Styela clava: one gene and its partner. The protein of the gene in region 1 interacts with the protein of each later gene in a biochemical or structural test. Links are inferred from orthologs where the notes say so. Each region holds a gene or a part of one and is shown on either strand. Other genes may lie near its edges. The genes, in order: nuclear pore complex protein Nup155-like and uncharacterized protein LOC120347097.

What was found.
Region 2: the proteins of nuclear pore complex protein Nup155-like (region 1) and uncharacterized protein LOC120347097 form a complex in vitro, tested with the Homo sapiens proteins (2 studies listed by BioGRID). The link is inferred for Styela clava from reciprocal best matches to the Homo sapiens genes NUP155 and GLE1.

Annotation. Positions count from the first base shown.
Region 1 is NC_135255.1:15,087,221-15,095,714, reverse strand, and holds the start of nuclear pore complex protein Nup155-like, read left to right. Parts: upstream 1-5,090; 5' UTR 5,091-5,103; coding exon 5,104-5,230; intron 5,231-5,527; coding exon 5,528-5,641; intron 5,642-6,461; coding exon 6,462-6,629; intron 6,630-6,997; coding exon 6,998-7,084; intron 7,085-7,631; coding exon 7,632-7,777; intron 7,778-8,194; coding exon 8,195-8,300; intron 8,301-8,494. Other genes in the region: translocon-associated protein subunit delta-like, read left to right, coding at 3,852-4,352.
Region 2 is NC_135260.1:1,246,370-1,255,243, forward strand, and holds the start of uncharacterized protein LOC120347097, read left to right. Parts: upstream 1-5,154; 5' UTR 5,155-5,282; coding exon 5,283-5,568; intron 5,569-6,423; coding exon 6,424-6,611; intron 6,612-7,154; coding exon 7,155-7,250; intron 7,251-8,387; coding exon 8,388-8,874. Other genes in the region: uncharacterized protein LOC120347098, read left to right, coding at 689-874, 2,026-2,119, 2,833-3,698, 4,007-4,128. UniProt on the Homo sapiens protein: Required for the export of mRNAs containing poly(A) tails from the nucleus into the cytoplasm. May be involved in the terminal step of the mRNA transport through the nuclear pore complex (NPC).

The DNA of each region.
Region 1 (8,494 bases):
ATGTACAAGGAAAATTACAGTGATCACGAGATGTCGTACGAGATTCAAGTAAAATATATTATTTTGATTTAAAAATTTCGTCAAAATATCGACGTTACGGTGCTTACGCTGAACGTGACGTCAACAACGTGATTCAATTTCGCTTCATTTAAGGCCGACGTCACATTGCGTAGCTCGTGCGTAACTCGCTGCGACATTTGAACGCCAGACTATGTGGCGCCACGTGTAGTTAAATATAAAGTGAAAACTCCTACCTGATCCTCGTCACCAAATCCTACAAAAACTTAATTATAGCCCCGGTCATATGCTGTTTATTTATTGTGAATCCGATTAATGCACATTAAATTTGTGTGTTAACATTTCGGCATTCTTCGACCGTATAGATGTTGTTGATACGTAAGGCTGATGAACAGCCAGATACGCGTATCTATACTATCACAATGACAAGGTTTTACGATCGGCGATGATAATATATTAAGAGTAGAATGTTGCACAGGTGAGCATGAAACTCTGCACAGGTGCACACAGCAGGAGATTGGAGGTTTTTGGCGTTTTTATCCGTTTCATGTCTATCTGCCTGTGAATACATTATATCTGAATTATCAACACGGCCACAAGCTACACTGTTCCATATTGTTGTCCACTTCCATTTTTTTTACTTTTACTACCTACCGTAATTCATCATCCATTTTTCTTTTTTATTATTTTCATTCGTTTCATTTTTGTTTTGTATTAAAAATTGTTTTCCATTTTTACTTTTACGACTTATTTTATTCGTCCGTTTTTTATTTTCATTTGTCCCATGTTGTCTCATTTTTGTTTCGTATTGAAACGATCATAATAGCAAGATATAGCACTTTCATGAAATTAAGAATAGTCAAGAGATAAATGGTTTAGTTTTGCGAAACGTCAGGAATAGGGCTGGGCAAAATTATTACATGCGTTGTATTTTGAAGCATTTAGCGGTAATAATTATGGCGCGACACTGTCAAAATCGTCGAGTAAAGTGCTGAGTTCGCAAATTCCGCAGATAAAATTGTGAATTAGTCGGTAACGGTTTTAGCTATAATAACCGTTGGGGTATTGTTTTGTTCAAAAAAAAAGTTAAAACTTGAGGGAAATAGTTATAATTAGTGTCCGACCCGCTATCAGGACCAAAAGCCTTATGACAAGTATAAATGCATAACGGCCGATTTATTCAATCATTATTATAAATAAAAATTCAGTATTCGCACAATCGCGGGTGCAAAGCATAACAACATCAATCATCGTCTTAATAAATATCTCCATCTCGGCGACGATAATAATATCACCGTTCGCTTTAAACTCGAACGATTAATAGTATACAAACGGTGATAAGTAAGATCAAAGCCAACACGTAAGATTGAATCAGAACAAAATTAATTTGGGTTTTGAAATCAGTCCTTCTTGTCTTCAAGAGCTGTTGCCGATGTAAACACACGGGTACACCAGATATATAAAACTTTGATGTCCGCCGACCCGGAAGAATTAATAATCACAAAAACGGCCGTCATAGATGAACGTCAGTGTGCGACACGCAAAACGAATCACGGCGTCGTAAGTTCTACGCAGCGACGTTATCACGCGTCACTGATCACGCAGACATTTCTCTCTCACGACGAAGTGACGCAAAGCGAAAAGTGGCCATCCGAAGTTATAAACATTTGGAATACAGATCGGCAGGCAAATAAAGTCAATAATTTGAATGAAAAAAAGTATTGATTGATATGAAACCGAGTTTATCGCGAGGAGAAAGGCTTCAATGTATTATATTCCAAGTTTGGCTTCAATTGAACAATAAACGGCGGAGAAATTGTTCATAATATAGTGAAATCATCCGAAGTTACCTGCTTTTACGGTACCGGTACCCGTAATAGACTTGACGTACCTAGTTATTGGACAAAGTGGCACATTATATTTCTGTATTCCTGTATTCAGGTGCAGATAATACATGGGAATTAGGTACAGTCTATATTTTAGCCGATTATTGGTTATTTTTGAAATTTTCAACCCAAATTATATCCATAAAAAGTGACCAAAGTTACCCTAGCAGACATCTCTCAGCGGACATCTTTCTCGTTTTCGGAACGGTAAAATAGCGTTGCCAGAAAACGATTTAACATGGCACTTAAATGCCGCATCGGAAAAAAGGAAAGATAGTCGCAAAGTACTTGCCAGATTTACGGCGGAATTTTGCTATACTCGGAATTACAAAACACTTATTTGTAATTTCCGATGGCCTGGCAGATTTTTGAAGTTGATATAAAAAAAGAACTTATATTGAAGTCATCCTAATCCAAGTTTTATGAAAATTATATGTTGGAAACATATAATAATACATTGTCAAACATGGCCAAAAAGAAATTTCACATTAAAATTAATAAATGTCGGCATTTTAACCCCAAATTCTGTACTTTTCGATTAGGTGCCCCACTTTTAGATAAGACATCTCAAACAAACATATTGTGAAGTCATTTGGAACCAAGTTTGAGAAAATTTGTATGTCGGGAACATATAATAATATCTTGTCAAATATGGCCGAACCATGAATTTTACATCGAAATTAATAAATATCAGTATTTCAACCTAAAAGTTTGCACTTTTTGATTATGTGCCCCACTTTTAGATTAGATATTCCAAAAGAACATACTGTGAAGTTATTTGGAACCAAGTTTCAGAAAAATTGTATGTCGGGAACATATAATAAGATCTTGTTAAACATGGCCCAAACAGGAATTTTACATCAAAATTAGTAAATATCGGCATTCGACCCAAAAATTCTGTACTATTTGATTACGTGCCCCACTTTCAGATAAGATATTTCAAAAAATCATACTGTGAATTCATCTCGAACCAAATTCCAGAAAAATTGTACGTCGGGAACATATATTATTATCTTGTCAAACATGGCCCAAACAGGAATTTTACATCAAAATTAGTAAATATCGGCATTTTAACCAAAAATTCTGTACTATTCTCCGACCAACCGACAACTTGCTTTAAAATTTCACTTCCGGACTGGCGGTATTAGCTGGGTTAAGGGCATTAGTCGCAAAATATCAGGATATTGACTGAATGAGATATTTTCTCAATTTCAAACCTTTTTCAGTACAGCCCAGTTACAGAGTTAGGTATCCCATTCCAAGATTAACCCCCACATTAAAAGACATCTATTATAACAGTGAGTGCAAACCCCTTCTTTACGAGACAGACTGGGCTTACATATTGTGAAAAAGAAAAAAATTTATCATATCATTTTAGACTAGAGTGTTCAGCGAAAAAACTCATTTTTGGTAGGTTACTCAAATCTGAATCTGCCGTCATGCCAGACACTCTCGTTTCAGAGACAGACAGAGTGTTTGTTTCATTGTACCAAATGTTGACACATTTTGGAACACAACTGCCCTACTGTACCGTATTTGTTTTTCATTTAATGCTATGTACTGATGTGAAGTTGCATTGACTATTGAAAGGCTCGGCGGTGTGGCGCATCGTGCTAAGCGTTAGGAATACAGGAATGGTTATGTGCCAGAAGATTACTGGACTCCTGGGGCAGTAGGGTGGTTTATGTAACCACTGGTCGGTTACGGCTTCCTCCACCATCAAGTTCATGCTTCCGAATTCAAATAACTGGCTAACCAATCCCATACCCGACCTGAACTGGTAACAGAACAAGAGGCCTTGGTTCGCCGTATGATTAAGCCATCTTATCGCTTTCCTCTCCCTCGGGATAAATATGTAAATCTTATCCTAATTATTGTTTTTTGGTACTAGAATATTGAATCCTAGTTTTAAAGTTTTTCACCATTATAAATAAACTAAAAGACAAGATGAAGATTTTCGTTTTGATCATTGCATGCGTAGCGCTCGTGCAGGGTAACATCTGTGGGAGGCATACAGTAACAGAGGAAACTTATACAACAACTGAAAGGCGCCTGTCAGATGACACTGCCTTCATTGTGAAATTCAAGTTACAATGTAGCAGTGGAGCTCAAGGATTTCCACTGTTTGCAGAAGTTGGTGGAAAAATATATCCTGTTACCAAATCCCCAGAACAGAATATTTATCAGCTAAGTTGGGTTACAGAATCTAGTAATGCTGCAAGTGGAACCTACAAATTACGTCTCTTTGATGATGATGGAATGAATGTTCTCAGAAAAGCAATGAGAAATGAAGAAGATACTTCTGGTCTTTCGTCGCTATTTGATATTGAATTCAATCACCCTGGAAACACAAGAGATTTGTGGTTGACATCTGAAGTTGTTGGTATCTTCGTAGCTGTCCTTATCTACTATGCAGTTTGTCGTTTGCGGAGCGAAGTTATGGATTAATTTCACATATATTCACTGTAATTGTAGTGAATTTCAAAATTGCACATTTGAAAATGCAGTCAAAATTACACTTGAGATTTATTTTGCAGTAACTTTTAATTAAAAATCATCGAGTAATCTATCAAACAATGTTAAATTTATAGTTCATTACACTTCACTTTATCACGAACTGATTTCACATTATAATTTGTCTCTTTTCAATTGTAGTTTAGAAATTGCTTAGTTTTCTAATGAAGTTAATAGATTCATGCATTTATCTGTTTAGTTTGATGAAGTCTGGTTTTTTAAATTATAAGGGTGTCCCAAAATAAATGGAAAACATTATTTCGATTATCAATTTTGTGGTTGTCATTTATTTTTGGACACCAGATATCTGTCTATTCGTTGAAGCATCAAAGCTATAAAATATAAAGAATTCGACTCATTTTGTGAATTTGGAGTAAAATAAACAGTGTCTTCTAAAATGAAATTCGTGTTTTTTGGAAGAAATGTTTGTAATGTACTGTGTGAGCAATGTGCGTTTTCATTATGATATCAACTAATTTCTGAAGCATCTATGTTGTAGTTTTCTCATTTAAATGAATATTTCAAATTTATTGATGTTGCATTTTTTTCTTGGTCGTCACCTGATGGTATTTCTACAAATTTTTTTCGAAAATTTAAATAACAGTTAATTTAACTGCTTTATTTCAATGTGCTTTTTGTTCAGATTCTATCTTATGCTAGGTCTGTAACTAGTCCCTGAATTTTAATGGCAACAGCTACAAAGAATCCTTTGAAAGAAGAGGTTCAAGATGCTGCCAATTTTGTACAAACATTTCTTGCGGCGGATAGGGAGCAACTGGATTTGTCTGAGCTTATTTCTGCAACTGGAATAAGTGAGTCAATATTTTTTGTGCCAAATTTTTTTAATTAAAAAAATCTTATAGGATTTTTAGTGTATTATTCTAGCATATGTATCAATGCGGTGAAATTCGTGGCTACTGTCTAACTTTCATAAAATGAGCTTGGCAATTGGCAAACATCTTTTTGTCTGCATAATTAAAAATGTTGTTTTTCAAATTAATTTCAGTTTCCACTGAAAATTCTGGCACTATAAGTCAATTAATTTTTCAATTATTGATTTTTCTCTCGAGTAGCCTTCTTAATTAACACAATACTTTTTCATTTTCAAGGTTCTGGAAGCAGTAGCGGAACACATGATGAAGATTATCCAAATTTACGATTACCTCAACTCACAGATATCCGAAACAAACCACTGCCTCCCGAATTAGTCGAACAATTTGCACGTATCCTTTGTATATAGATTTGAAATGGATACGGTAATTAGAATGCGCTCAGCTATGTCGTATTCATAAATATTTTTTCTTGGGTGTCAATTTTTTAATGATGCAGAGGGATGTATTTCATGTGCCTAAACCAATAGAGTAAATTGAACAAAATTATAGCCAAAATCTGGGTATCAAGAGTTTACATAAAATTTACACTGGCTAGATATACAAACTCAAGCTTTTCATAAAACAACTCCGACTAGTTTGATATCCAGTCTAGGTTGGTGGAAAGTTTGACCCAGGCTTCAGCTCGAAACCCGTGAAAACCAAAGTTTGACAACAAAAATTAGAGTTTGGTACATGAAAGCCAACTTCCATTGTCTGTTTAGAATGCTAAGTTGACTTACTGATTCTTGAGTTTCTGTCAGAACTTTTGGCTTCAATTATCATCATTTGAAGTCTAAAATTCCCACTCCGAAAAGTTAAAAATATCAACTTCTGACTAAGGGTGGTTTGAAAACACAACTTCGGCCCTGGCATGGCAAGATAGAAATCTTCTTACAATAGATAGAAGATAGAAATCTTGGTACAACAAACGGAAAGATTCCAGTCTTCAAAAGTTCTATAAATAGGCCTATTCATTGCTTTTCATAACCCTGTTATCAAGATTTGACCATTTTTATATACTGTACGTCCGTACGTAAGGGAGGCCTGGTCTCATGCATTTCTTAGTTATAATAGTTTTCTGTGTAATAACTCAATGTTATATTGTATATTAGTGGTATATAGGCCTATATATGATGAAAACATGATTTCTTAACATCACACTAATATAAAGATATGCAATGCAATTGCATTGTTGGTATCTTTCCCGAAATAGGAAGAGCATGGTTGACTGTGGATTCTGATATATTTGTATGGCGATATGCAGATGGAGAAGATCTAGCTTATTTTGATGGACTCTCTGAGACAATATTAAGTGTTGCACTAGTCAAACCCAAACCTGGTGAGCATTGGATATTTATTTTTTTATTTGCGCACTTTTAGATTAAAGGAGAGTATTAAGCTTCATCAATACTCTTTAATCAATTACTTTTTCTTTATTGTACTATTTGTACATGAGTTGTACATGTGTGTCATTATTCTCAATTTTTGTTTGTGTTGTTGCAAAAAATTTGTTTCCTCGCCAGTCGCCACTTGAGGGACCAATCGATTTCATATTTTCTCTGAGCCTTGTGCACCTTTTAACTCGCCCGATATTTTTCTGTTATATTTTAATATATGGGAACACTTACATGACAATATGGGAACACCTCATGTTCATACTTTTTATATGCTTCTCTTGTATTTATCAATTAATGTTCAATATTGCAGGTATATTCAGAGATCACATCAAATATCTTCTAGTCTTGACAACACCGATGGAGATTGTTATTCTGGGAGTCAGTTTTGCAGAAGAAGGTATTGTTTAAATATAACTTTCAATTAGGAGAGTGAACGAAATCATCTTACTGCCCAGATATTGCTAGAGAGCATGTGGGTTTAAAAGGGTTTCAAACAATTTCGGGAATTTTAACCCGAAAATGAAAGTCACTCTGTCATAAAGGAAATCTCATTCATTTCTCATATACAAGACTTTTTTACATTTTTGAGTTTATTGGCATCCACTAACATTCAAGCATCTACTAGTTTGGAAGGACCATGATCTTCAGAGTCGGCTTTACCTTCCCAATTTATTCCTTCTCTTTGAAAGATGGTGGACATATTATGTTTGAATTTGAAATTTGTAACCTTCTATGCCAGCATAGTTAGTCCAACATTCTAACCACTAGGCCGCCGCATCCAGGTCTTAGCGGAGAAGATTATGTCAACATGGTCTGGAGTATATCTCAGCAATATTGAATCATGCAGAGACTTATGCCACTGAATTATTATCTTATATAGATTTTAGTTTGAATTATAGATATAAAGCTGAGTTATAATTATCGTCTAATTCTTAAATTTCTAGATGTCAACGGCGAGATGCACTTGCTACCAGATCCATTGTTCACATTAACTTCAGATAATGTTTATCTTGTTCACACTGTATGTACTGAAACTGGCAGAATTTTCACTGGTGGTAAAGATGGATGCTTGTATGAAATTGCTTACCAGGTTTGGTTTTGTATTCTGTTTAAATCAGGTTTTTCAAACTGGGGTTTGCGAGTCTAACAGTGGTTCTAGAAGTACAGGCTTTTAGGTAGTACTTGGGGGCATCTTGTGAGGTTTCGGGTCAATTGTTTGATGACTTTGGGTACGCTATACTCCAAATAAATACGCCAGATGAAAAATGTCACGAGCAAGGGATAATCAGAAAGGGAACAAAGTTAGGCGGTTCTTTTATATTAATCAAAGCAAGAGTGAATACGAATGAGCAATACTTGTTAGTTTCCAATGAATCAAAATATTCCATTTTACCTGAATTTTCCAACATTGCTTATATATTATATCTTTAGCTTTTTATTGGTGTTTCACTTTTTGTATTACAGTAATACTAACAGTAGAATTCAATCAGAATTGTTTTTTTTTCAGGCTGCAGGAGGATGGTTTGCTAGAAAATGTACAAAAATTAATCATTCCAGAAGTAAATTATCATTTCTACTTCCAACTCTTGTCAATTCATGGCTCACAGATGATGGTGAGACTTTAATTTTAATGTTGTAATGTAATGTTCAATTTTGTAAATAAGTTTTATTTATAAAATTGTTTGATCAATCTGGAATTATCATATCAGCATATTTTCAACATTTATTGTGTTTCATATCATGTTTTTTCTTCAGCTAGAAAAGATAAACATAATATGGAAGGCTATTATAAAATAGAACTTAGAAA
Region 2 (8,874 bases), on another chromosome or scaffold:
CATGCTCAGTAAAACAAACATTTTGCTCAGTGTAACATTTCCTTAGAAGAAACACAGCTGGTATTACAGATTCCATTACTTCACATCACAATAAATTGGGTAAGCCATGCCAAACTAGGAAAATTCTGGTTTTTCCAAAAAAATAGTAATGGTTTGGTGGTAGCCGCATCGTGCTAAGCATAGGGAATACTCGTGCCACTGTATCAATGATTGCCCTGCGTGGGTTCGCAGGTTCGAATCCTGTGGGGGTAGGATTATGTGCGAGAGGATTGCTGGACTCCTCACCGCGGTGGATGGATAGGATCGGATTTACATATTTATCCCGGGGGAGAGGAAAGCCGATAAGACGGCTTATCCATATGGCGAACCACGGCCTCTCGTCCGGTTACCATTCCAAGTCGGGTATGGGATTAGTTTTTACTGTATTGTTTGTTTTCGGAAGCATGGACTTGGTTCACGTAACCGCTTGTCAGTTAGGACTTCCTCCATCATCAAGTCCATGCTTCCGAAAACAAATAACTAACTAACTAATCCCATACCTGACATGGACTGGTAACAGGACGAAAGCGCACTGTTTGCCATATGATTAAGCCATTATATCAGATTTCCTCTCTCCAGGATAAATATGTAAATCCTATCCAAATCGTTGGATGAAACTTTTAAAAGATTTATATTTATTTAATCCTAGATATGCTGATGAAAATATACCAAGTTAAAATACTGGTTACAAAGTATGAGATGAGTGCTACAGAAGCAAAAGCCTCAATCTATCAGACTAAAGGAGACATCAAGAAATGCATGAAATGGGTGCGAAGCAATAAAGAAAACTATGGGGCTGTCGAGATATATTCAAAGTTATTTGAACATGAAATTGGTATGTATCATTAACTCTCTTTTTTTCTCATGTTTTGAATCCCAACTGGGTGATAACTAAAATCATGATACTGCACGTAGCAGCATTCAACTTTGAACTTATTCTTCTGTATAGCTTAAACTCAAATATAATATTACGTCAATCTGTAACAAAAAATGATAAATTCTATTTAATTTTTCTTCCCTCCAAAACTCTGGTTTTCTTCTCAATGTTAAGATTCAACCCTAATACCTGTAACTGATTATTTCTTATAGGGCCTTCCAGAAGGTCCTACATTTTTTATAGTAATGTCCAAGTTTCCTATATCATTAAACATTCTGAATTGCATTTTGTTTCTCAATAAATCAAGCAATCAACATGAAATCATGCTTGTCTAAAAAAAGGGTCCGCAATTACAAAGAATACATTTATTGACACTGGAACAACAAAAATTTATCGCATTCTCTTATCAATGAACTATCTCTATTTGCATACAAAAATGATGACAGTCCATTCCCATCACATTGCAATTGTTGTGAATCTATAGAAAATTACGAAACAGTAAAAACAGTGCCTCGATTAATACCTGGATTGCCCATACTTCTTGCGATTCTTGAAAAATATATAAAAATTCTCTTAGATGAAAAAAAGTTAAAACTTTTCAATATTTGAGCAGACTAATAAAAACTATGTATGTGCAGTAGTTTTTAGGAGTCTGTAAATAACATTTAATTAACTTTTTAAGCTGAAAAATTTAGAACTTTTTCTACTATATTTACTGTGAGAATTTATTTCAAAAATGGGTACTGCGAAAAATGGGTACCAGATTAGGGTTAGGCTACAATTTTATTCTGATTTACCTTATTTTAGTTCTATTACGAGTTCGAGACTGTCTGTGTTAACCAAGTGAATATCGCCCTGACCATAGGTTTCAGTCCCTTTACACACTTTGGTGTAAAATAGGCAAACAAAATTAGTTACCTCCATATTGGTACACACACTTCTGGACCGCCCGAAAACGACCTAAATAGGGCCTTCCAGAAGGCCCTTTCAATTGAGAGTGTAACATGCTTTATATAAATGTGCATGGTAGTTTATTTTATTTTTACACTATTCACATCACCCTGGCTTACAGTAAATTGATAGGCAATCTCCAATTCTCTTTTTTACAGAGGACAAACTGATTGGGCAGATAGTCTTGACTTCAGAACCTGAAACCTCGCCATCCTTGAATAAGAAAAGTATGGAAGACTTTCAGATGCATAGGTGAGGTTTGGTATATGATTCAGTTTTGTCATGAGCAGGGCTTGGGAGCTGGTTAGGAATCACAATTACTCCAAATCCATCTCCACAGTAAAATTAATCTGTGGCTACAGCTCTGGAGCTTCAATATTCCTCGTAGCTGACTCAACTTTTCAAGTCAAGTTTAACGCCCGAGTTCATGCTCATGTATTTTTATTTTTCAAGATTTTAACGCCCGAATTCAACAATTCGCGTATATATACTTTTCTTTCTCAAGAATCAACGCCCAAACTTTTTGAATTTGTGTCTTATTATCAATGTATATCTTAAAACTAAATGTTTTGTGTATCAATCAGATCCGATGCTACATGGTTCACATACATTAACTGTGAATCTTAATAGTGAATTTCGGGGAAGCTGACTTCGATGATCTTATGTTTGTATCTGTATCGCTCCCTCCAGTCTATAACGAATTGATTTTGTTTATATTTTTTTGTACCATTGCTTGTTCTCTGGTTGACGAAATATTAATCTCTCTCTGTCTCTGCATATCCATTGATCACAACCATAAAACGTTGGCACAATTTTAAATTAATCTTTGAAGTTTCAGATATCATTCAAACCTGGAAATTTAGTTTAAAAATATAAGTTCCAAAGGATAAATGGTTAAACCGTCTTTTCGTCATTCCTCTCCCCCGAGATATATAAATCCTAATGAACTACTTTCTGTATTGCAGGTCTCAAAAAGACGTTTCACAACCTGCCAATATTGGGCAGGGCTTTGTTCCAAAGATGAGTCAGTCCAAAACAGTGGGCGCAGACGGAGGGGTGATTACTATTGGTGGAAATAAAATACATATACCCCCCGGTGCCTTGAAAAAAGAAATTCATTTGGATATAACATTGAACCATGAGACTGACAATGTATCTGATATCGGGGTCCCAATTACCCCCATCCTGTCGTGCGTCCCTCATGTTGAATTTGATAAGCCTGTTAAAGTCGGCCTCTCGACTTGTTTTAGCGCGATAGGCTCTGATAAAATTTCAGCGATTGTTTTTGGTCGTAAAGATGTTGATTCGGAATGGAAAGAGACACAAAAATTGCGTCTCGGCCGTAAAAATTATCTTGAATTCGAGGTTTTGCATTTTTCTGATGATGTCATAGCGGTTTCGGAAGAAGATTGTGAATTAGGTGAAATTCATCTTATTAATGATGTTTTTATTGAAAAAGACACCGAGTATGTTGCGTCGTTTTTTTTCATTGATTTTACGTTTTACGAAAAAACACGGGAAAATTTACGAGATCGAAATATCGTACAAATCCTTATGAGTGAAAGAGAGATGATCACGAAAATGGGTGCAAAGATAAGTCTTCGTATTGACTGCAAGCATCCACAATCAACTGCAATGACATCGTGTGGTAACCAGACAGTCCAAGTCACCCCCTCTTTTCTAAAGAAACGAAAGCACGTTGTTTATTTCACCTTTGACCCCGAGCTCGGAGAATACAAGGGACGTATCAACATGAGATATTACACAAGGGTTGAGGGAGAAGAAGAAGAAGTTTCTCCTCTCGGAACGTCATGGCCGATTGTCGTGAAGAGTAAGTATTAAGAGTTTCGTTTGAATTTTGAAGACATGATAAGAAGTCAATGAAAGTTTACAAACGATTCCAAACTTTCTATTCGTATTTCTAAAGTGGTCTTTAGTTTATCAGGGTTTAATATTGTGAAGAGACCCGTCAGGCCGCCCCCTGGTTACCGCTTTGTATACACTTGATTTTCCTAGCAATTTCGTGGAAAGAGATTGGGTTATTTTTGTGCATTTCCTACTTGTGAAATCTAAGCCTTATTTTCTCCCAATAGGTAAGAAGCTTCGTCCTGAGGTATTAATTCCTGTATTTTTTTACAGTGGATTCACCGAACATTCATTTCACTTACGACGCGAGTACAAAAACAACAGCTAACGTCATAGCTACTGAGGGAGGGACTGCAAACGTGTCAAGCAAGAATCCAGTGTATAAAGCTGGATGAGGGAATTTCTGGACTCACAAAATATATTATTTGAAATTATTCCATATGAAAAAAATGTTAACAATACTGTATTCTGTTTACAACATCAAGTTCAGATTTATCAGCAAAACTCCTGTTCACTTACATATATTTGTTATCACGAAAAGTTCAATTTTCAATTGAAGCATTCTAGGTGTGGCGCATCGTGCCCACCGCCGCACCTCTGATTAGCCTGCGGGGGTTAGCAGGTTCGAATCCTGTTTAAGGATAAATATGTGCGAGAGGATTGCTGGACTCCTCATTGATGCAGGGTGGTTCACGTAACCGCTGGTCGGTTACGGCTTCTTCCACCATCAAGTCCATGCTTCCGAGAAACAAATAACTGGCTAACTAGTCCCATATACGACATGGACTAGTCGCTGACAAGAAGGCATGGTTTTCCTGGATGAATATGTAAATCCTAATATTGTTAAGATTGCTAGTAAAGTTGATGCTTTTTGATATTCCATAGAAAATTTTGAGTCAAACTCCAATCACAGCCTTTTTTATCAATTTGCATTTTTTATCATGAAAAGTTCAAATGTTTTACACATACTATGTTCCGGTGTTCGCCATCTTGGTTCACATACTCCGGGAGTTCCAAATGTTTGATATTTTATGTTCTTGTTAACCATGAGAGCCTTATTTGCTATGACTGTAAAAAATAATAAACTAATCAAATCACTTTTATCTGCAATCTATTTGCTTAATCTAATTTCTAAAAACTGTAAACAATATAAAACCAACTACTCTAGCGTTCATCTTAACATTCCAGCATTTTAAAATCCAAATTCATTTGATTTTATCAATTTTTATGTGTTGTTTGTTCTATATATCAGATATTTTAAAATAATATTTGTATTTTAATGTATTTGGAATAATGAATTATTAGCCATTTACTGTGCTCTTACTTTTCTCATTTAAAGTTGCAGAAATTCAAGAATTGCCAAAAATGTAGAGTTTTCACATTTTTTTATTTCTTAATTACACCTTATGTTTTACTTTATATATTATTGTCTTCAAAACCCAATGCAAACTCTCTGTAAACTCTTCAAATTGTAGAAAATTTATATAAACTTTGATATCTCATGTTTCAAATAGGTTTTATATAGAATTAGTTAACAAAAACCATAATTATGCCTTCACCACTGTCGGTGATCGAATCTTTGAGAAAAACAGAAAAAGGCCGATTGAAATACTATAACGAATGGACAGCAAAGGACTTAGCAAGTGATATTGCGTCGCCAAAAATACGTCGAAGCACAGAAGGAATTGTTTTTGAAGTGTCGTCGATCCGAGCGGCCCTCGAAGCAATTGATGATGACGCAAATGTTCATGTGGAAAATGTTGTCGCTGAGGAGAAAGCGAAATCCCGGCTTGAAATGAGTGGGAAAGAAAAAGAACTGGATGAGAGATTTAGAGGTTCGTGTTCTTCATAGTGTATAAAGTGATTCTAGTCTCACATCATTGACCATCTCATAATTCGACGCTCCAGAAGTGTGTGTACCAACATGGAGGTCACTAATGTTGTTCGCCTACATTACATCAAGTTGTGTAAAGGGACTGAAACCTATGGGCAGGGGGTATATTCACTTGGATAACACAGACAGTTCCCAAGTTCGTAATAGAACTAAAATGAAGAAAATCGAGATAAAAATATGGCCTAACCCTAACCTGGTACACATACTACGGGAGTACCCATAATTCTATGCTACAATTTCTTATTGGTTGTCAGTGCCTTTTCTCAGATACCATTCTCTTTTATTTCCGGGTGAGTTGTTTCAAGCAAATATTGAACAAATGAAAGCTAAAAAAGGAATGCATTATGGTCACATTACATTATTGAAATCATAAAAAAACTGAATCGAAAAAGGAGCGAAAACTTCTTTGTCATCGCTTACCCAATTTATTTCATCCGTTTGTTTTGGGCGGAAACAGAAAGAGACGCGAAGACTGTAAAAATTCTCTTATAATCGCACGTTTGTTTCAAAATAGGCTTTCTGGTAATTGTGAGCACAAAAAGAGGAGATATAACATAGCTATTGAATCGGACTACGGTATGGACTTTGCAAAAGGATTGGAAATACTCGCAAGAACCAGATTAAACTAAATTAAAAACTTTTTCACACTATTCAATATCGGCACTTCTCCGTGTGCCGCACAATTTTTCTGTGTAGGGCGCAGGTTGCATACCCCTCTCTTCACTATGGCACAGAAGCCTCTCAGCCGACAGTGACTCACATTGACTAGTTTTTCCTAGATGTTCCTATTTTTCAGATTTTATTGATGTTGATGCGCCGCTTCGTCAGTATGAAGCTGAATTAGAGGAACAAAAACGAAGGGAAAATATTGAACAGATGAAAAAACAGGAAGAATTTTACGCTGAAATTGAAAGAAAAACACAGGAAAGAGTCAGAAATAGGAGAAAAGAAGAATTGCAGAGAAAATCTAGGGAAGAGGAGAGAGTGAGTATCATAGATTGTCTTATTGCTATCTATCTCAGTCTTTCCCCCTTGATAATGCCTAACATGTTGTCATGGAATCATGTTACCCCTTTATTCTAAAAATATAACCTTGGCTGCGCTGTTCTGTAGTCGAGTACTTTTTTACACAAAGTTGTAGAGCTGAGGGAATATTCACATCCCACTGCAAGCTATTCAAACTACCAGACTTCGAATTCCAACTCAGATTGGAAAAAAAATTGATCTCATCGTGTAGGAACTTCTGACTGTATCTCCAAAATCATAGGCCATGCATGTGAAATGCATAATTGGTTAACTATTTTCTCTCCCCGTGCCCAACATGGACTGATAACCGGACAGAGTCGTAGTTTGCCATACGATTAGGTACTTAGGTACATTTTTTTTGGAGCTCCAGAAGTATGTGCACCAAGATGGCGCACAACCTGAACGGAGTATGTGTACCAGGTTAGGGTTCAGGTTGTGGGCCATCTTGGTGCACTTACTTTGGAATGTTTCATTTCCCCATTCGATGTTCACCTTGTTTAGATGAAAAGATTTTTCCAAGAAGCCGAAGAGAGTGCATTGAGGATTCGCCGTGAGATGCAAGCGCACCAAGATCATATTATTAAAACTAGACAACAGGTGAGGTGGCTGCACCCCCTTTTAAGAATTTGTTTAGTCTCGCACCCAACATCAAAAATAACCAGCTAACAATAAGCTACAAATAAAAGGCGAAAGTATGTTTCATTCAAAAAATACTTTGAAAATTTGTGGATTGAACGTAAATATCCAAAATAAAAGAATGTAAATATCTAATTAACCTAATTAATTACATTCTCTTTGGTCATACTGTGAGGCTTTTATAATTTTTCAACTGAAACTACAGTATTCTTAATTATACCTAAAATCAAGAATTTTGATATTAAATACCGTATATGCTCGTTTTACCGCCCGATCTTGATTAAGGGCCTGTTTGAATAGCCGCCTGTGTGAACAGAACATAAAAATAAATAGGGGCCGGTGCTCGAATGACCGCCCGATGTAAAAGCTGATTTTGGTAGAGAACAATAGGAAATAAGAAGCGCTTTTGTCACAACGCTGTTGAATTTTAGGCGCTGATAGATAACACTCACGCCCAACGCATCCAATTACATAACAGATAGAATTGATTACGTAACTGATTCCAAACTGGGCGTTGCAACGCCCATGTGCGTCGTTTCAATATCGATAGGACATCGCAAAACTTTTCTTTTTTTGCGGATTTGTACCTGCGGTGCGTAGAAAAAGTCAAAATTTTCGTTATTCTCGTTTAAATCATAATTGATAACTGGAAATGAAAATATATTAATTATTGTAACGATCGATCTTATTTGAAAATAACAAGCGCCCATGCTTGAATGAGGGCCGGTTTGAATAAGGGCCCGGTTAGTGAGTTTGGTTAATAAAACATATGGGCTCGGGCTACAAAACGAGCAAATGCGGTATAAACAATTTTAAACTATTCCTAATATTGGTTTTGGACTCGATAGGCCTATATTCAGAATAGTAAAACATTTGGTTATGGTCATCCCTGCCTCCACTTTAAATTTCATTCCGCCTGGCTGATGAGTCTCACTTGGGTAATTTCAGATTTTCAGAAATTCAGATTTTATTTTTTTTCTGGCTAGACTGCAAATCAGTCTTACCTGGTGGCCCCAGCTTGAGAAAACCGACATTTTAGTCATCCCTTTGACTTTATTTTATGTCCGACTTATCAGTTTTACTATTATTTCTATTCAGGAAATGGAAGAGAGAAAACTCAGACTTCAACTTTTGCAAATGAAAAAGCAGAAAGAAGATTTTGAAAAACTTGCGAACCACATGAGTGGAATTCAAAACATACAAAAAGATTGTTTGGAGAGGATTAGAGAACTCCCACAAAACATTGTTGCAGAAATTGGGAACAGTAGAATTCCAATTTTTGTCGGAAATTTGAATGAAATTTATAATCGCTCAAATTCAGTGTTCACCGAAGCAAAAAATCGTGGAAAAACTGATGAAAATGAGATTGTGCGTCTTAAATCGGATTCGGAAATGATGACAAATATACGCAAAAATATTCTCAGTGAAATTGACTTAGTTAGTTTACGAGTAAAAGAATTGGAAATCCGAGCTGAAAAAGAGAAACAGGAACTGATTTTGAGGCAAAAACGGGAAGCTGCACAGGCTGAAAAGCTTGCTGCTGAATCGGCGAAGGCTAAGGCTGCTGCGTCAGCTGCTGCACAGG